Regions from separate parts of the Mus musculus genome. Here regions 2, 3, 4 and 5 are each reported to be linked to region 1. Evidence: microRNA targets listed by miRTarBase, many of them from high-throughput screens and not tested one by one. Region 1 holds a microRNA gene; each other region holds the end of a gene's coding sequence.
The links. The annotated mature microRNA mmu-miR-124-3p reads UAAGGCACGCGGUGAAUGCC and lies in region 1 at 2,334-2,353, shown strand. An mRNA with a match to its seed (bases 2 to 7 or 8) in the 3' UTR can be bound and repressed. Matches are read on the target gene's strand: a 7mer-m8 pairs with bases 2 to 8, a 7mer-A1 pairs with bases 2 to 7 and ends in A, and an 8mer does both.

Region 2: the mRNA of Gata6 is a reported target of mmu-miR-124-3p. Seed matches in the 3' UTR shown: 7mer-m8 at 3,361-3,367.
Region 3: the mRNA of Rgma is a reported target of mmu-miR-124-3p. The part of its 3' UTR that is shown has no 7-base or 8-base seed match.
Region 4: the mRNA of Atp6v0e is a reported target of mmu-miR-124-3p. The part of its 3' UTR that is shown has no 7-base or 8-base seed match.
Region 5: miRTarBase lists Ydjc as a target of mmu-miR-124-3p. The part of its 3' UTR that is shown has no 7-base or 8-base seed match.

What each region holds. Positions count from the first base shown.
Region 1 is chr2:180,891,750-180,896,337 of GRCm38, forward strand. It overlaps Mir124a-3 (microRNA 124a-3), which reads left to right and starts at 2,291; the gene lies at 2,291-2,358.
Region 2 is chr18:11,084,271-11,087,971 of GRCm38, reverse strand. Gata6 (GATA binding protein 6) reads right to left here. Exons shown (of 7, transcript NM_010258.3): 7 at 2,337-3,657. The coding sequence ends at 3,490. Among named protein-coding and RNA genes, the nearest start is that of Gata6os, 34 kb to the right of the region's middle.
Region 3 is chr7:73,417,842-73,421,542 of GRCm38, reverse strand. Rgma (repulsive guidance molecule family member A) reads right to left here. Exons shown (of 4, transcript NM_177740.5): 4 at 1,644-3,701. The coding sequence ends at 3,510. Among named protein-coding and RNA genes, the nearest start is that of A730056A06Rik, 44 kb to the right of the region's middle.
Region 4 is chr17:26,695,238-26,698,938 of GRCm38, reverse strand. Atp6v0e (ATPase, H+ transporting, lysosomal V0 subunit E) reads right to left here. Exons shown (of 4, transcript NM_025272.2): 3 at 3,455-3,584. The coding sequence ends at 3,491. Among named protein-coding and RNA genes, the nearest start is that of Crebrf, 19 kb to the left of the region's middle.
Region 5 is chr16:17,148,297-17,151,997 of GRCm38, reverse strand. Ydjc (YdjC homolog (bacterial)) reads right to left here. Exons shown (of 5, transcript NM_026940.4): 5 at 3,141-3,701. The coding sequence ends at 3,512. Among named protein-coding and RNA genes, the nearest start is that of Ydjc, 3.2 kb to the right of the region's middle.

The sequences.
Region 1 (4,588 bases):
TGTCTACACCATGGACAGCAGACCGTGAAGGTTTGGTGTCATGGACGGTGCTGGGGACCTGACCCAGTACCCTCTAGGGAGAGGGACCACTGGCCAGGCAAAGAGGAGCTGGTTCCAACAGGGAGTAGCCTCTGCTCGGAGTCTAGATCCTCCACTCTTGAGCCACCAGCCAGTGTCCCTCGGGCTGCAGGTGCTGGCAGGCCGTGGGTGGTTTCCTTGACTTTGGGTTGGGCATAAGCAAAGGTGGGCTTAGCTGTCTGTGTAAGAGGGGATTCTCTAGCGTCGGTTGAGACTGGCACCTGCAAAGGGAAGGATTTGGGGTTGGGAGAGAAGTATCCTGACCCTCTGAGGACCTTCGGGCAGTGGGATGAGATCTCCGGAGATTACCTCCTTCCCAGCTGAGTGTCTTCGGGGGTTCCCACGGGGCTGGAGAAGGTTGGAAAGGGAGGGGGAAGAATTTATGCCTGGGTCATTTAGCTTCTGTTAGAGGGCAGGTGGTCAAGGGCTGGGTTGGCCCAGGGAGAAAGGATAGGACAGAGGCCTGCCTACTTCTGTGTGGTTCTTCCAGTCTGCAGGAACAAAGGCCCGCTGGGAAGGCCTAGAGTGGCGTGGGTTTTTTTTTTTTTTTTTTTTTGTTTTTTATTTTTGGAAAGCCGCTGATCTCTAGCCCTAAAGACCCAGATCAAGGTAGTCACCCTTCAATAGACTGCAAAGAGTAGATTCAATTGCAGTCAACTGTGAAGTATGGACTGTGTTTCTCCCATCCTCGTAAGCAAGGACTCGCTACCCAGCTAGAAAAAGGGTGAAAAAGGGGAGCAGTCTCTGATGGGGGTTGGGGGAGATGTCTAACTCCCTTCTCCACATAGGGCCGCCAGCAGGAGGCTAGGACCCCTTTCTTTCCCCCCCCCAGGAGAGAGAGGCTCAGAAGCCACTGTGTAGAGTGGTTATTCCGGAAGGACCAGCCGCTTGTGTGAGGCAAGCACAGTGTGTTCGCTGCACAGCGGGGTGTGGCTGGTGGTGGGTGTAGAGGAGCTGCGGTCGGTGGGCTGCGGGAGAAGCTTTTGCGTGGGTCGTGCAGTAGGACAGAATGAGCGGTTCGAGAGTGTCCAAGAGGCAGTTTCTCTGCATACGTGTGACCCCGGGGCGCCGGGCACAATCGAAGGCGTTCGAGGGCTGCATCCGTGTGAGTCGAGGAGCGCGCGGAGCGGGACGCCGAGCGTGTGCGCGGGAGGCACGGGTCGCGCGGTGCGTGAGTGCGCGTGTACGCGGTGCGCGTGCCCCTCAGTTCTCAAGGACACCTCCGAGAGGAGGCGGCAGAGCCGGTGTCGGGTGACGTCACCGCGCGCCCCAGTGATAATCGCCCGGTGCCGGAGCCGAGCGCGGATACGAGCGGAGGCAGCGGCGGCGGCGGCGAGCGCGGGGACGGTCGCACCCGGTCTAGGCAAGGAGAGTGGGAGTCAGACTCCCGCAGTGCCGACCTCGCGGACGCCGGGCTCCCACCCGGCCCTCAGGAATTTGCCCGGCTTCCTTGGCACTGTCCCTGCGCTCTCCTCCACCCGGGGCCGTAGCGTGCGGGTCCTGCGGGCGCCAAGAAGGAGGCGGAGGCGGGATCGGGCGACAGCGCAGGCTGTGCTGCGGAGCGGAGGCGGCAACCGAGAAGCAGCAGGCGGCGGCGGCTCGCGCCCGGACGGGTAACTGCGCTGGCGGCCCGTGCCGGGGCGAGCCGGTCTCTCAGGTCACCCCGTCTTTCTCTCCTCGAGCAGCTTCTCGCCAGCCAGAGGCGTAAGAGAAGAGAGCTCGGCGGGTTGTAGAAAGAGACTGCTTTTCATCTCCGAACATCGAGGTTCTTTATTTTCACCGCACTCACGCACTCCTGGTGGGGCCGGGAAGAGGAGCCGGGGAAGGGCAGCTGCGGAGAGGCTTGCGCCGCCGGGGTGGAGAGGGCTCTGCACCCGTCAGAAGACTGCAGCAGGCCGGAGCACGCGCGCTCACCCCGGCCGGCTCCTGCATCTCCCTCGCCGCGGCTCCGAGGGGTCCCTACTGCAGGAACGCCCCGAGGGATTTGCCCGGGCCCTTCTCTACCTCGGGGAGGGGAAGGAAAACTGGCTCCTCGGAGTTGGGGGCGGACCAGGGCAGCACTGCCAGCTTAGCGCGGAGCCCCGCCCCGCCCGCCCGCCCCGCGGCGAAGAAGCTGGAGCATTCGCGCCCCTCAGGCTAGGACCCCACGCAAGCCGCAGCCCGGCCCCGACCCGGTCCAGCCGCTCGCCGCCCGCCGCAGCCCTGAGGGCCCCTCTGCGTGTTCACAGCGGACCTTGATTTAATGTCTATACAATTAAGGCACGCGGTGAATGCCAAGAGAGGCGCCTCCGCCGCTCCTTTCTCATGGAAATGGCCCGGGAGCCCGGCCGTCGCGGCGCCCCTCCCGCGGGAAAAAGGCGAGCCCCGGCCCCCGGTGGCCCCTCGCTCCGCGGACAAATCCGGCGAACAATGCGCCCGCCCAGAGGGCGGCCCAGCTGCTGGGCCGGGGATCTGGCCGCGGGACACAAAGGGGCCCGCATGCCTAGGACGTCACGAGAAGGGTGGGGGCGACCGCGGGGGAGAATGTGGCCACCCGGCCCCTGACCACGTGTGTCCGCAGCTCTGAGTGCTCGAGATCCCGAAGAGGGAGACGAGGGCCAGAAGACAAAGGGAGGGGCTGGGGAAGCGGCGGGCTGAGGGGCGCGGGAGGGAAGTGTGCAGCTTCCCGGGTTGTGTTGGCGCGTCCCGCTACCCACGGGCAGTCCTGGGCGCTGTCCTCGGTGCTGGCCGTGGAGTCACCCAGAGAGACGGGGCGCTAATGCGCTTGGGGCGAAGGGATGTCATGAGTATCACTGTTCCCATCTAGGGGGCCCTGGATAGTTGCCGCAGCAACCCCAGAGAAATGGGGTAGGGTCTGGGGTCACTGCAGTCTGTCCCCTGGGCGCTCTAGTTGGGGTCGCAGGGTGAAGGCGGTGATCACTTTGATTCTGAAGAAACCCCTGAACCTTAGGTTGAGGTTCGAGCTGTGGAAGTGGGGGATCTGCATCTGCATCCAAGGTCTAAATCTGGGTGGATACACTGGACCGCATCCCGCCCCCAAACCTCTCTCCAGCTATGCGGGACGCGAGGCACGTGAGGCTCTGCAGCCCAGAGAGAAAATGACAAATCCTCCTCCTCCCTCCCCCACCACCATCTGCAGCCGCAGTGACACCCACTCAGGTCTGCTGCAGGCATTTTTTTTCCTGTCCTCGGCAGCCAGCGCCACCTGCTGGCGTCCTGGTATGAGACTCTGCTCTGGCATGTCTCCTCCCAGCAAGGTTTCCGATCCCCAAGGTTACAGGCCCTATTACCTAGGGCAATGGTTCTCAACCTTCAGAATGCTGCTACCCTTTAATAGAGTTCTTCATGTTGTGGTGACCCCTCCCCCCAACCATAAAATTATTTTCGTTGCTACTTCGTATTTTGTTGCTACTTCATAACTGCAATTTTGTTACTGTTATGAATCCTAATGTAAATATTTTTAGAGATAGAGTTTGGCAAAGGAGTCCTGATACACAGGTTGGAAACTGATGACCTAGGATTGACTGTCAGTGGAGGAGGTCACAACCTCTGCACCCCCACCCCCTCAGACAAGTTGCAGACTTGCTTTTCATCTTCATGGGGTGAGTGTGAGCCCCTTTCCTGGCTCTGACCCAGATCCAGAACTGACCGCCCAAATTCTCCTAGCCTCAAGTCCTGTGCAGTTGCAGAAAAGCAAGACAAAAGGGCCCGCGTGAAGACACAAAGAGATGCTGCAGGGAGACTGCTTCAGTACTCCATGGAGAGATGCACACAGTCACACACTCATAGACCACTAGTGCCTTTGCATCCTGTCCCCAAAGCAGAGCCTCTGCAGAACCTCTGCCTCTTGGAGGGTGGAGAAGGGGCCCAAGCATACCACAGCTCTGACCTTGGGCTTGCTGTCTCTTTTTCCCTTCCTCCCTCAGAAGAGCTGCAAGGTGAACTCAAAGCAATACTGAAGGAATTGGTAGAGGTATCAGTCCTCTAGTGTAAAGGTTCCTAGGGGGCACAGGACTATGCCCCTCGTTGAGCTCTGTTGGGGGTGCTCTACACTGCAGCCTGGCTCTTTTCCCAGAGGGAAGATTCCCCCTGCCTCTCCCCTGGAACTAGAGCTCCATTCTTGTGCCACCGCTGCCCTTGCTGGAGAGTTGGCTCCTGACCACAGTGACCTTCTGGGCTGTGAGCAGAGATCGGGGTGGGGAGGATGGTAAGGGAGGTGGGCTGGAGAGTGGATAGGCGGTAAAGCCCATGGCAAGCTGCCCTGTGCCCCAGCCCAGGTTGAGTAGCAATCACCTTCACTCACCTTCATTGCACCCCCTTCAGTGGAGGCTAGGGGCTTCAGTTCAGGGGCACAGGACCAATCTGGGCATGGCTAGCAGACATGGGGCATTCGGTAGGAAGGCCATTTTTCAATCCTTACTGTGCTCAGGGTGCAGCACTGTCTGCTGGGGTGTGGGCAGGCCTCACGCAGGTGACTTAGAATCTCAGATCTACCCGTAGGGGGCTGAGT
Region 2 (3,701 bases), not on the chromosome of region 1:
CACTCTATAGATAGCCAATACTGCCAATTGTAATACTTCAGCCCAGAGCAGTTCCATTAGGAATTAATGTCTGCCCTCTGCCTCCTCAGTTTCCCTGTACCCACTACTTTCTTCTTAAAGGCATGGGGATCCACAGAATCCACAGATGCACACAGGACTAAATGCAAAGCCACAGTATCGTCCTGGACTGGGACCTGGCAAAGCCACTGTGGTCTGTGTTACCTCCCAGGGGCTAATTTATCTGAGATCTGAAACTTCCAAATTCCCAAGGCCTGTGGAAAACATTTCCCTTGAGCAAGAAGCTAATTTATTTGCCAGGAGAAGTGAATGGCTGCCTTTGCTTTCCTGACTCTCCCATAGACACCAGGAAACAACATTAAGGGAATCTGCAGTTAGAGGCCAGACAGAGGCTCCACTTGTATAAGCCTAAAATCAGACAAGGGTAACAGGAAATAAATTCTGCAACCTGTGGTAATGGGCTCAGGGGCTTTGTAAGGTAAGGAGCAACATCTACTTAAATTAATTCCCTATTGAAAAATAATAAACTGGGCTTGGTAGTGTATACCTGTACTCCCAGCACTTGGAGGTAGAAGTACAAGGATTAAGAGTTTAGAGGCCAGCCTGGGCTACACAGCAGATCCAGAGCCAGTATGAAGATGGTAGGACTTGACTTAAAAAAAAAAAAAAAGATAGGAAGGAAGGAAGGAAAGAGAAGAGAAGAGAGGAGAGGAGAGGAAGAGGAAGAGGAAGAGGAAGAGGAAGAGGAAGAGGAAGAGGAAGAGGAAGAGAAGAGAAGAGAAGAGAAGAGAAAAAAGAAAGAAAGACTGTGTCAGTCTGGCTTTAGAAAATCATGGTAAACCTGTACATTTGGAAGTTAGGGACTTCTGTTCTGTCGAGTCACAATAAGACAGCATCATTTAAAGGCCCAGATGAGCACTACTAATTGTGCTAAAAAAACATACTGCAAAAAGCCTTGACCCTTTTCTCTGCCTCTTGTCATTTATTCCATGGTTCCTAGAATTCCTTCCCCGTTATAAAGGAAAATTAGCAATTATATGACATTTCAGAATTGAAGAAGGTTTTATGAGATGCCCCCACCTCCCAAAGATGATCACTGAGAGCTTATTAACTTATACCCCCATCATCTAGAAGGCACACAAAGTAATGAGACCTGTACAAGGAACAGGAATGACCAGTGCCCGGATGATCACTTAGAGCAGCCCTGATCTATAAAGCAGTTGGCCCAAGGTGGACTGAACTTCACACATACACTGCTCATCTCCACCATACCCCTGGGCTGGGAGTGAGGGGAGCCCCACACACCTCCTCTTTGTTGGTGGTTTAGTTTGGTTTTGATTTTTTGGTTGGTTGATTGGTTGGTTGGTTATTCTTTTGGTTTTTCAAGACAGGATTCATTCCCTTGTGCAGCCCTCCCTGGCTGTCCTGGAATTCTGTAGACCAGATCTGCCTGTTCCTGCCTCCGGAGTGCTGGGATCCACACCCAAGGAGTGGGAGCTCTTGCCAACCTTCTTCAAATTCAAGTTACTACCATGTGACAGACACTGCAGTGGGAACAGTGCATGGATTATCTCGCAGCAAACCCAAGAGTTCTATACTGCTTGTTCTGCAGGCTATGGGAAGTGGCAGTTAGTTGGATAATCTATCACAGAACAGAACAGAGACTTGAAGCCTTAGTGGTCTGGTTTTATATCTAGCATTCTTAGCCAGTAGGTCTAGCCTCTGGGGCAGCTCTGCTCCTATGAATTCCCCAAATATACACACCAACCCTGAGCACCTACCAGCACTGTCTATAGTTTTCTGCCATAAAATTTCATCTACCACACCAAGAATATCTGCAAAAAAACAAGTTCAAAATGCCAGACATTCAAAGCATTTCCAGTTGTACTAACAATTGCCTAACTTCCTAAAATCCACCCAACAAAGGTTGTCTGGTGGGTGTCAGCCCTGCAGTCCTGGAGGTGCACTATGCAGAAGTGGGGACCAGGAAGGAAAGTGTTCTGACCAAGAGTCCCAGAGTATAGTCATTCACAAAGAAGTCTAGAAGAACTGGCTAGCATGTTTTCAAGCAATGATCTGAAACAGACTGCTCATAATCTCAGACAATGTTGCCCCATAAATCTCATATTCATTTATAAGAAGTGCTTCCAACTGGCATTCCATGTGCCATTCCAAATAATCCAAGGTGCACAATGGCCCCCAAAGAACAATTCTTTTAGATAAAGGTCTCAAGGCAGCTTGCAAACACCACTGCACTTGTTCTATGTGACACCTTAGAGTCACACACAGCATTGAAATAAGATGAAAAGGAAGGATCTCACTGTACAGAACACAAAACAATACCCTTTTTATTTTTTAAAACTCTGGTGAAATAGGTTTCCATATGATATCCCATTAAAAAAAATAATAATGTAAACCAACCTGTGGGTTGGTCACGTGGTACAGGCGTCAAGAGTGTTACAGATACTTAGAATATTTACAAATGCTATTCTCTAGGTAGTAAAGGTTTGTTGCAATTTCCAGCACTTTTTCCTCAGTAAAAGAACGGGGACTGTGTTGGTGTTCTTGTATAAAAATTCATAAATGGAGAAAAGGCAATTTCCTGAGAGAAGATTTGTTCTTGAAATCTTTTTTTTTTTCTTTTAAACAATTGGGAACACAGAAGTGGGCTGTGAGTGTAAGAAGCATATGTCTAAAGTTAACTTTTTTTTAAATTATTTTAAGTACCATTAAGTTAAAATGTTTACATTCATTATAAAAATGCTGTTAAATCTTATGCAAATGATTTAACACTGATTGCTGCAACGCAAATTGCACTTAAAAAAATTATTGTGTACATGGAAGAAAAATATCTTGTTTGCTACCCTGTTTACAAATTCCAAGTGACCTCAGATCAGCCACGTTACGATGAACGTTGAGATAAGTCAGTCAGTGTCTGTCATGATGCAATCTTGCAAATTAATATTCTTGTTGAGACCCCAGGAATGCACTCCGCCTCCAGGATAGACCAAATGGCTCCCAGTGCTCCTCTCCACGAACGCTTGTGAAATGTGCACGGTGGTCGGGGATGAATGGGTTCTGGGATAACCGAGGTTGATCACAAGAAGCACATGATTTGGAGCAATACACAAACATTTTCTCTTAAATCTCTCAATCTTCCTTAGCAGACAAGGCCCCGGTCATTGTCACAGTTTCTCCCACTGGTATGGGGCAGAGTCAGAGGCAGGAAGCAGCCCAGGCTGGCAGGAGCAGGCCACATGCCCACGGTGCTGGCCCTTCCTGCAAAAGCCCATCTCTTCTTACTTCAGTAAGCTTCTTGAGAAATATATCTCTTTCAAAACAAAGGCACAGAAATCACGCATCGAAGGAATGTTATGTCTGCATTTTTGCTGCCATCTGGACTGCTGGACAATATCAGACACAAGTGGTATGAGGCCTTCAGAGCCCTCCTTGCCTCTTGGTAGCACCAGCTCAGGCCAGGGCCAGAGCACACCAAGAATCCTGTCGCACGGAGGATGTGACTTCGGCAGGGGAGGACAGACTGACACCTATGTAGAGGCCGTCTTGACCTGAATACTTGAGGTCACTGTTCTCGGGGTTGGCGTTTTCTCCCACTGCAGACATCACTGATGCCCCTACCTGATGGAAGAAGAGAACAGAGGGGGAGAGATGGTTATACATCA
Region 3 (3,701 bases), not on the chromosome of region 1:
TTGAGCTACATACTCATAGGCAGTTGGGGATGGAGTGGGAGAGAGAGAGTAGCTCACAGGCTATGCGAAAGCTCTTCGGTTGCCAGGCTGACTGGCCTCGGCCCAGGTCTGCACCAGAGCAACTGTCATGCACAAGGAAGATGGGAGCACTCAGACTTAACTCAGAGCAACTGTCATGCACAAGGAAGACGGGAGCACTCAGACTTAACTCAGACCAACTGTCATGCACAAGGAAGATGGGAGCACTCAGACTTAACTCAGACCAACTGTCATGCACAAGGAAGATGGGAGCACTCAGACTTAACTCAGAGCAACTGTCATGCACAAGGAAGACTGGAGCACTCAGACTTAAGGTGCTGGCCCCGGACATTTGAGATGCAAATTCCCCTGTTCTGGAGGGCAGTGAGCGGTGTGGTATTTAGGAAAGAATTCTTGTGGGTTAAATTTAGGAGCCTGAAAAAAATTCCAAGCCCCACATATTTTTTTGGCAAGTGTCACATGGCACTTTCATCTGATGGAGAGTGAAGGACTTTTTGCCTGGGCCTGGCTTTTCCACAGTCTGTCCAGCGTGTGGCTCGGGCCAATGGCCCCGCCATTGCTATGCTGTTCCCCTGGGATTGTTTTCTTTAACAATCCCACTGACCACTGGGGGGGCCAGGCCTTTGGTGACTGACAATGCAGGAGAGTGGGTGCATTTAGCTCTTTCCTCCTAGATCAACCCTTCAGGGTCTTTGTTTAAGAGCCTGTGGTTTTGCTTGTTTCTTTGTTTCAAGCAAGGCTCTTGAACATTCTCTCTCTCCTCACATCTGGTGCTGAGGTTGTGTGTCCGGTGGGCATAAATGCTCTCTGGATTTCTCCTCTTACTGGCCTTTCGTCTCCTCCCCAGTCTTGCGGGTTCCTCTCCTCTGGGGAGCAGATGAAGACATTGCTGGGAGCTGTTGGGAGCCTCAGAGGGTTAAGTGACTTGACCAAGCTTACTTATCTGGGACTTAAACTTGACTTGAACAGAGTATCACAAGCAAAATTGACCTAGGTGTATGCCTTGGCTCTGCCCTTGACAGGGAGGGCATGGTACAGGGGGGCACATCTCACACAGATCTTCAATCTGTTAAATGGTTTGGGTCCCGTGACACTGAATCACGGCGACAACATGTGCCCGTAGTCAGCAGGGAGCCTGGCTTTGCACACGTCTGGACAGTGGTGCTATCAGAGCACATCACTGGGCCCCTAGGCTGGGTGCTAAGGGATGTTGAAGGGGTCGAGTTGTGGCTGGGGCTTCTCGGTCATGCTGGCTTGGATGAAGCCATTATGGACCGCAGACCCTCCTCCATTCCAGACTCTGTTCTAGACAACAGCTCTCAGCCTTTCATCGTATAACATCGGTCTGCCCTGACGTGCCCAGAGCAAGGGGAAACGGACCAACCAAGTCCTTCTAACGGCTCAGGCATAGGAAGGAAGAGAGGTAATCTCAGTCCCCGAAGGCCATGGTGGTTAAACAGCTGCATCTCACAGCTCACACAACTTGGGCCCACACAGCCCCGTCTTGACACACTTTGTAGTGGGGACACATCCACCCACCCACCTCACCTCTCCACCCCGCAAGGACCAAAGTCTGTTTCGAAAATAAACTCCAACAGCTCATCTAAAAGAAAAATAACAAAACAAAACCAACTTTACTTGCATTTAGCCGTTAATAAATAATTTACAGTATGTACACGCAGTGGCTCTCCACACAGGTCGCACACAGGTGGACTCAGTGAGGGGTCCCCACTTCCAAGCAGAACGTGATCAAACACAACCAAAATAAAGTGCTTCAACTCTTTTACTTCCAACATAGGGATAGCTGAAAAACCAGCAGGGGGCAGCGGAGCTGACCCCTCCCAGCTACCCACGTGGTTTTGGCAGGGGTTTGGACCTCTGGGAGGGAGAGGCAGGTTCTGCAGCCTCCCGGCCAGTGTATGAGAGGTCCCTGGGGGGTGGGGCTGGGGTAGGCTCTGCAGGGCCGCTGGCTGGGTGGCCCAGGGGGGCTGGCGGTACCGCCATGCTGGTTCCTTGGGGGGCCTCTGGAACAGCAGAAGAGATGGGAATGGCTCTGGGCTCTGTGGATGGACTCTGGCCTTGAGCTGAAGGAAAGAAAGCTAGGTTCCCAGTGACAGGCCTCTCTCTGGCTGTGGCCAGAGAGTTGAAAGAAGGTTCTAGTGGGAGGAGAACCCGCCAGGCAGGGTCATGGTGCAGGAAGGCCTCTTAGAAGGTGCTCCCCTCAGTTCCCACAAAGAAATGCAGACAAGAGGGCTGGGGGGTGTAGCTGCTGACCAGCAGCAGGGGAAGTCTAGGAGACAAGTGAAAGGGCAGAGGACAGGGCAGGCCAGCTGGCCCTATCCACTGGATCTGCTGCTCATGCCCTGAGACCCCAGCCCCTCTCTGGTGGGGACTCTTATGTCTGCTGGCGGGGGCAGGGGTGAGGGGTGGGGGTAGGGGTGGCGATGGCAGGAACCGGAGGATCACGTCTCTGTTGAAACATTCAGAATGACAGCACTTCGATTTCTTAAGTGCAATGGGAGAGGGGCAGAGGGTGGAGCCAGAGTTGGGGATCTGAGCCCATGAATGGTACCGCTTAGACCTCAGGCCAAAACACACCCTCCCTTCAACTGTGGGGCTTTGCAGGCAGGTGCCTGGATGCAGCACCTCAGACACATCCACAGTAGCTGGATGCACGGGACAGTCCCTGCGTAGCACTGGGTAGGAAGGGACCAGGAGGGCACAGCCTCCTGGCTACAAGGTTACATCCATTTGCTAAAGATGCTGAGCAGGGCTCTCTGGTATGCCCTTAGTCACACTGCTAAGGAGTACCTGCCTGGGGATAGAATCTTGGAAATGCTTCTGCCTTCCTGATGTGGGGTCTTGGGGGTGTCCCCATGGGCTTAGTGTGTGCGAGTGTGCTTGTGTAACAGTGTGCGCGAGAGTGTGTGGGAGGGCACAGGGGCCCCAGAGTAGGTGTGCAGCAGTCAGCCGGGCCTGTCTCAGTGCATTGTGAGGGTGTGGAAGGAGCCGACTTTCCCAGTGTCTCTCTGGTGATGGGGGCGGGGGGGGGGTGGACTTCAGCTTAGGGGGCTCTGGTTCGCACATTCACACGATGGGGGTCAGGGTAGAGGGAGCTGCTCTCTCCCTCACACAACTCTACTGTCACAAAAACACAGCATCAATCACCACAACCTTGTTGCGTGCACAAATCAAGAGGGGAGAGCTGTCCCACGCGCCCTTCACCCCGGCCAAAACATCTGCAGACGGCTCTGAGGGCACCATGCTCAGGCCGTCAGCTGCGGAGGCCACCTCTGCTGAACGGTTGGTTGGTCTGCAGAGAACACTGGGTCTCAGGGAGCCAGCCCACCTGCTGGGCTGCATCCTGAGGCTGACTTGAGCCCTCAGACAAAAGGAGAAGCCAGGGGCAGGAGCCCAAGGCTCAGGGCAGTCGTTACTCTCCTCTGTATCCTACCTACATGGCCAACTGTCTACCACAACACAGGCAGGAGGACCAGAAGTGGGATGGTGCCAAGGAGAATCTGGGGGGCCAAGGGGAATGTGGTGGCAGCGGCGGCGGCGGCGGCCACGGCTCCTGGCAGCTCCCGAGTCCTTTCAAACAGATGCAGCTTGTCCTTGTTGGAGTGGAGCATCTTGCCATCCTCCAAAGCATAGTAGGCAGC
Region 4 (3,701 bases), not on the chromosome of region 1:
TAGGATTTAAGAAAGGGGGGTGCGGGTGGGGTGTAGGGACAGGGACAAGAACTAAAAGTAGTCAGGGCTAGAGCACACATGCAGCAAAACACTATATAAAATGTAAAAGTTGAAGACAGAGGAGGAAGGCAGAGGAGAGCTCGAGGAGAAAGTAGGAAAGCCACCATGCCTACAACAAACCTTCTGGAGTCCCATTATGTCCCAGTGCAGGATACTGCAAACAATATGCATTCAACTCAAGATTTAATGAGAGGAGATCTGGGGCTGTGGCTCCCTCAGAGAGGGTGGGACAGAGAGTGTGACAGACGGCATGCTCAGCAATCCCCAGCACCAGAAAACAGAGGAAAATGGAATAACTCAAGGATGGTTTTTACAGTGCGCTAGGAGAGCACCAGGCTGAGGTGGCAACTGTCAGAGCAGACTGTTCCTGTGGTCACTTTCTTTCCCTGGCCTGGGCTGGCAGAAAAGCTGCTCTGAAGACATTCTATTCTAGGCAGATGATAAAGTTGGCTGGAGACTGCAGATAGCTCTGTGGGAATCTTCTATGAACAGTGATGCACTGACAGACTTCCTTACCCTCTGGACTTTCGAGACAGGGTTTCTCTGTGTAGCCCGGGCTGCCTTGGAACTCACTCGGTAGACCAGGCTGGCCTTGAACTCAGAAATCCGCCTGCCTCTGCCTCCCAAGTGCTGGGATTAAAGGCGTGCGCCACCACTCCCCGGGCCCCTCTGGACTTTTTAAAGAGGTATTTTATTTTTACTTGTGTGTATACATGTGTATCTGTGGGAGGGGCAGAGGTGTTGTGTGCTCACGTGCGTGCAGTGCCCTCACAGTTCAGAAGGGTGCACTGGATCTCTTGGGAATGGAGTTGCAGGAGGTTGTATGTGGTTCAGTCTGGGTGCTAGGATTTGAACTTGGGCCCTCTGTAAGAAGAGGATCCATTCTTAACTCCTGGACCATCTCATTAGCCTTTTTTTTTTTTTTTTAAAAAATAAAGAATCACAAAGGAGGAAAATGACCTTCATTTTTCTTTAATAAACCCACACACTAGGAAGTCCTTTTACTCAGCGTCACTGGTGACAGCTGAACTAGAGTTAAGTGTGGCTCCAGGGCTCTGTGTTGGGTGAGCTAAGGAGCATGGAGTCCTCTCCATGATGTGGAAATAACGAGCTGAGGATGGAGCTGGAACAACCAATCCAGAACCTGTGTGTAAAACAAAGAACTCACTAAGGTAGCCAAGAGAAAACCTGAGAACGGTGACGGGGGAAGGGACTGAGACAGTAACTTAAAAATACCAAGGCCAGCTGGGCAGTGGTGGTGCACACCTTTAATTCCAGCACTCAAGTGGATCTCCATGAGTTCAAGGTCAGCCTGGTCTACAGATCGAGTTCCAGGACAGCCAAGGCTACACAAAGAAACCGGGTCTTGCAAACAAACAAAAATAAACAAAAACAGAACAAAAAGCAACCAACCATTAACCAACCAACCAATCAACCCAAAACAAATAAAAAATAACAAAAGGCCAGAATGAAGAACCCCATTCATCCAAAAAAGGGTATGTGAATGAATGTGTCTCTGTCTGTCTGACTCTTGTTTCTAAACTGTTATTTTAGATAAAATTTCAAACTATTCTTTATTATAATATGCAAAAATAGTCTTATTCAACTACAAGACTAAGCCAGTTAGAAGCACGGGCATTAAAAGAGTGGTTAACAATTAGAAAGCCATATGCATCTAGAGATGAAAGATCTCACTTAGAAACCGTGGTCAGGAAGCAAGCACAGGATTTGCAGGCTGAGCCCTGAAACATCTGAATCATTAAGAGCTGGCGGGAGCTGAGGCAGAGTCAGGGCCATGTCCAGAGACACACACTTGCTGACCTGCCTTCTAAGCGCAGTGAACGAAGTAGGGCATTGAGAGACGAAGAGCTAAGTTAGAAACATGGAAACAGCAGGCCTGGAACCTCCAGGTCAGGAGCAGAGAGAGAAGAAAGAAGGAAAGGAGGTCCTAGGGCGGGCTGGGCAGGCTTGAGGGAAGCCATGGTGCAGAGCTGCTTAGAACCTAAGACCAAATGTTCTTATTCTCCACGTTCCTGGTTTTGTAACTCAAGGGATCTTTGGTGACCCTGACCCAAGCTATGAGCATACACCTTATATTACATCTCGAAGGGTATGTTATTAAAACTATTTACCTTAGGTTAAAGAAACAAAAGCTGAGCCCGCCACAGCTCAGAACTCTCCTTAGCTTCTAGACAAATGACAATCTTTCTCAAGAAGTGCTCAGAGGCTGGAGATATGGCTTAGTTTCTTTAAGAACACTGGCTGCTTTCTTGAGTCTGGCTCCCAGCACCCATATGGTAGTTCACACAAGTTTCAGGGGATCTGATGCCCACGTCTGGCCTCCTCGGGCACTTCAAAAATGTGATGCGAAGACACACATGCAGGCAAACATTCATACATATAAAAGTAAAATAAATATGTACATAAATAAAGTCGTTTCAAAAAGCATGTTAAGAAAATGGCTCAGCTCTGTTCTGAACACTTGACACTAGCTTCCATTTAACAAAGTAACAGAGGGGGCTGGAGAGATGAGATGGTTCAGTGGTTAAGAGCACTGACTGCTCTTCTGAAGGTCCTGAGTTCAAATCCCAGCAAGCACATGGTGGCTCACAACCATCTTCTGGTGTGTCTGAAGACAGCTACAGTGTACTTACATATAATAATAAATAAATCTTAAAAAAAAAACAGAGAAAAGGAATCAGATGACAAGGGACCTGCCACTCAGCCAGTGGGTAAACTTTTGCGCGCTGCCACTGTTTACCACCTGGTCTCAGCATCAAATGAAAGCTTCCGTCTTGAGTTGACTTCCTCTTTGTTTTGGAGTCACTCTGTAGCTTGAGCTGGTCTAGCCCAGGCTGGCTTTGAACTTATCATCCCCCTGTCTCTGAAATCAATGCTGGAATTACGGGCATATACAATTCCCAACCTTCAGCAGCGGATTGTCTCCCTTTCCCCAAAGCATTCTAAGACATTAATTTTCAATAGTTTAGCCATTTCTTCCCATTGTTAGGTGCTGTTAGACTAAGACTACCCGCTTTCTAATCTGCTGGGAGCCTGCAGGGGAGCTTACGGTCTTGAACCACGTGCACAGGTGTATCAGAGGACGAGTGCTGAGGATCTCAGCAGGTGGATGGGGATCCCAGGGATGCAAGAGCTTTCACCCTCTGCACCATCTCTCCTGCACCAAACTTTAAAAGGGTAATAATACACACAAAAAGAATGGTTTGCTCTATTATTTAGAATATATATATATATATAAATAATTTTTTTTAAACCAGTCTACTCTTCGGCTATCTCAGCTGTCTTTAAATGGCCATGAAGTTCTGAGGGCCATAGCAAACATACTAGCTGACTGGCTGTCAATGTTCACAAGAAAGGGCAAGAACATAGTCACCTCAGTGCCTAGGCACTGTGCAGCGCGTCTTCATCCTCAAGGCCAGTGGTACTTCAGATACCAGATGGTTTCATTTTTCAACTGTGGTCCAAACAGAGGATTGAGCTGTGCCAGAATTGCAATCAGCCAACTAAAATTCATGGGGAGGAACAAAAGCAGAGAGTTGTGAAACTGGCTAGAATACAACCATTTTCATATATGATTCAAAAACCTTGTTAGTTCAACTTCAGTGTAGTCCATTCAGACA
Region 5 (3,701 bases), not on the chromosome of region 1:
TCTTTGGGGATGGCCATTGCTGGGGGGTGGGGAGCGGCTATTTGGAGACTAGAGAGTAGTGACTGGGCCTCTAATCTTTCCTCCACTTCTCAGCCTCTAAAAGAGGTGTACAGGTGGTTCTGTCTGCCAGGTAGAAGTAGATAGGGGAGTCAACACTGGGAAAATCTCAAGAGACCCCATGGCTATCAAGGAGACTGGCCCCTTGTTACTTCCATCCTTGTAGCTCCAAGAAAGTATGAACTTAATTTAGCAAAGTTGAGAAGAACAAGTCAAGAAGAGAGGATTGATCAAGGTCTCAGAACGCAAGATTATATATCTTAGGCCTTTTCCTTGAATCCTAGTCATTATCTGGAGACTCTCTGAGGTTCCCAGAGAGCTACTGCTAAGGCACTACAGCATGCATTAACCTCAGTTGGGCACAGGCCTGTGACATGTGGGCACCAGATGGAATTGAGGGTACCTTCTTAGTTGTATCTGCCGATCTTGTAGGAATACATCCTAGAATGTCATGTTACCTTTGCCTCCAAACATTCCTGGGGCACTGCTGGGTTTGAACTTCCAATCATACTCCTTCATTCACTCTCCCTCCCCAGCATGTTTCTCAAGGGAGTGCATAGTTCATAAGTCCCATATCCCCTTTATCCTTACCTTTTACTCCCAAGGCTCCTGTGGCCAAAGACCCATGGTTCCCCCACTGCTGAGTAAGCAGCTTGTAAGGCACTCAACTTTTATTTGGTGTGTCGTTTTCTCTAGCCCTACGAGATGTGTCCCCACACAACATGCTGTGCAGTCTAGTTGAGGGAGAAGTCAAGTTTGGCTTTTCCTGCCCTGCTCATGTCCAGTGTGAGCAAACAGTACTACCCCTTTACTCTCAGTACTACTACAGAGAATAAGGCTGAGGAAGAGATTGACTGCAACAGGGTGCCCAGCCCAGGCTATGCCTGGTGAATGGCGTTTCCTGGATGACTACACAGTTCAGTTCTTCAGACAGCAATCCTGGGAAAACAGAGTACAGACCACATACCCAGTGCTATGCCCAAGGTGCAGGGAAGGAAGCTTTCAGGGGACCTTCCTTTTCCTCCAGTGTGGCCTAGATCACACTGATTTTCCGTTTGTAAGCTGGGCAGTATCCCAGCAGAACAGAACTCGGCAAAGCCTTCTGAGCACTCCGCTGTAGTCACACTCCAAGAGCTGTCTCTAGAAACATGAGGAAGTGAATAGAAAACTTGGTCACAGACATTGCAGAGTTGAACCTGCCCAGGCCAAGGTCCAGGAAGGTTATAATAGACTGGAGCCTATCAAGGGAATGAAGGCAAGAGAGGAGGAGCCATTCCTTCTGAAAGCCACAAAGTCTTACCAGGCCATTACCAGGCCAAATGAGAGAGAGCTTCCTTTCCTCCCAGCCCCCAGCTGCAGGATGGATGTAAGTCATGTCAAGTTCAAAGCCCCGCTCTACAACTCCCACTTCTAAGTCTAGTGGGGGCCTGGGACATGTAAGGGCTGGAGGTGTAGTTTAGTTGATAGGAAGCCTTGGGCTTAATCCTAAAACCATGTTACCTGGGACTGACGGGCAGTGCACACTTGCAATCCCAGCATTTGAGAAGTGGAGGCAGAAAGACCTGAAGTTCAGTGTCATCATTGGCAATATGAGTATCAAAGACAGCCCAGCTGTCTTGCCTAGCATGCGTGTGTGAAACTATAGACTCAGTCCCCACTACCAAAAGGAGGATCATGTTTTCCATCCTCAGAAACAGTGTGAGGTGTGCTCTTCCCTTCTACTCCCTACTGCCCACAGAGCATCCATACGTCATCAGACATCGCTAGAATCCTAGTTTATCATGTCAGCAGAAGACTACTTTCCTGGGGAAATGTAACACTCCTTTTTCCATCTGTCCCCTGAAATGGCTTACATATAACAGATTACTTTTTTCCCAAGACAACTAAAACGACTTCTATAGCATGTATATAAAGTCTGTGTGGGTTTGTGGCACCCAGATGAGGACAACTTTTAGAAGTTGATTCTTACCTTCCACCAGAATCCCAGGGATCAAACTCAAGGATTTTTACCCAACTGAGCCCATCTTGCTGCCCCTCCCCCCAGATAACCTCTTTTTAAATCAAAATTATGGTTATCATGTGCCTCCCCAGAGCACCCTAATGAATCTTGTCCCCCTCCCTTAAGAAAGAGAAGGGCCGGGCATGGTGGCGCACGCCTTTGATCCCAGCACTTGGGAGGCAGAGAGGCAGGCGGATTTCTGAGTTCTAGGCCAGCCTGGTCTACAGAGTGAGTTCCAGGATAGCCAGGGCTATACAGAGAAACCCTGTCTTGAAAAAAAAAAAAAAGAAAGAAAGAGAAAGAAAGAAAGAAAGAAAGAAAGAAAGAAAGAAAGAAAGAAAGAAAGAAAGAGAAAGAAAGAAAAAAGAATGGGGGTGGAGAGATGGCTCAGCGATTAAAAAACACTGACTGCTCTTCCAGAGGCCCTGAGTTCAATTCCCAGCAACCGCATGGTGCTCAAAACCATCTATAATGGGATCGGATGTCCTCTTCTGGTGTGTCTGAAGACAGATACAGTGTACTCATCATATAAATAAAGACATTTAAAAATTCATTTATTTATTATCTGTAAGTACACTCTAGCTGTCTTCAGACACTCCAGAAGAGGGTGTCAGATCTTGTTATGGATGTTTGTGAGCTGTGGTTGCTGGGGTTTGAACTCAGGACCTTCAGAAGAGCTGTCAGTGCTCTTAACTGCTGAGCCATCTCACCAGCCACGGAATACATTTTTGTTTGTATGTTTGTTTAAGAAAAGAATGTAGTCATGGCTAGGGCACAGTGGTGTGTGCTTGCAGTCTCAACAAGTCGGTGGTGGTGGACAACCCCTTGAGCCTAGGATTCGAAGGCTAGTCTGAGCAATGTGGTAAGATACTATCCATCTCAAAAAGAAAACACGTGCCATGGTACGCATATTACTCCCCCAACACAAACAAGTGTATGTAATATTTTTCTAAAAAAGGATTTAAAACATATAAGCATGTGCAGAATTGGAATGTAAAGATGTTTTTGTATGTCTTGGTCTGAGCCTCTAAGGAGTTCTCTGTGCCCACTCTTATTTCTCTGAAGGATACCTGGACACTTTATAAACCAGCCAAATCTGAAAGACATTATTTTATTAACACACCAGCCTCTTCCCATTGCTCTTAAACAAGTGGTTGTAACTACAACACGAACTGGCACCAAATAATCGCTCAGCTGTCCTTACGTCCAGATGTCACAGACTGGGCCTCCCTGCAGCCAGGTAAGGCTGCCCAAGGTCGGCCTACTACTCACTACTCAGCCTAGAGGACCTGGAAACAGGATTTAGTGGCTTTTCACTCTAGGAAGTCAGACCCTGCTCCAAGGCCTGACTGAACTGGAACTTTAGCCTTGGCCTTCCTCCATAGTTTTAGGCAGTTTGTAGCTGGCCTTCGGTGTCTGAGTGAGGAAGGCTCCAGGAAAGGTTCCAGAGTTGCCTCACAAGGGGACCCCTTCCCCAGGCCTTTTGGAATCCAGGTCATCAATGGCGCAGAGCTGCACACCATTTTGGGCCAGCCAAGCCCGCAAAGTGGGTGCTGTGAGAACGTGCAGCTCATGCAGCCGCTCCCAAGAACAAGAGAACGCATCTGGGCCCTCACCGCAGCCCCCTGCTGGAGGCACACTGGGG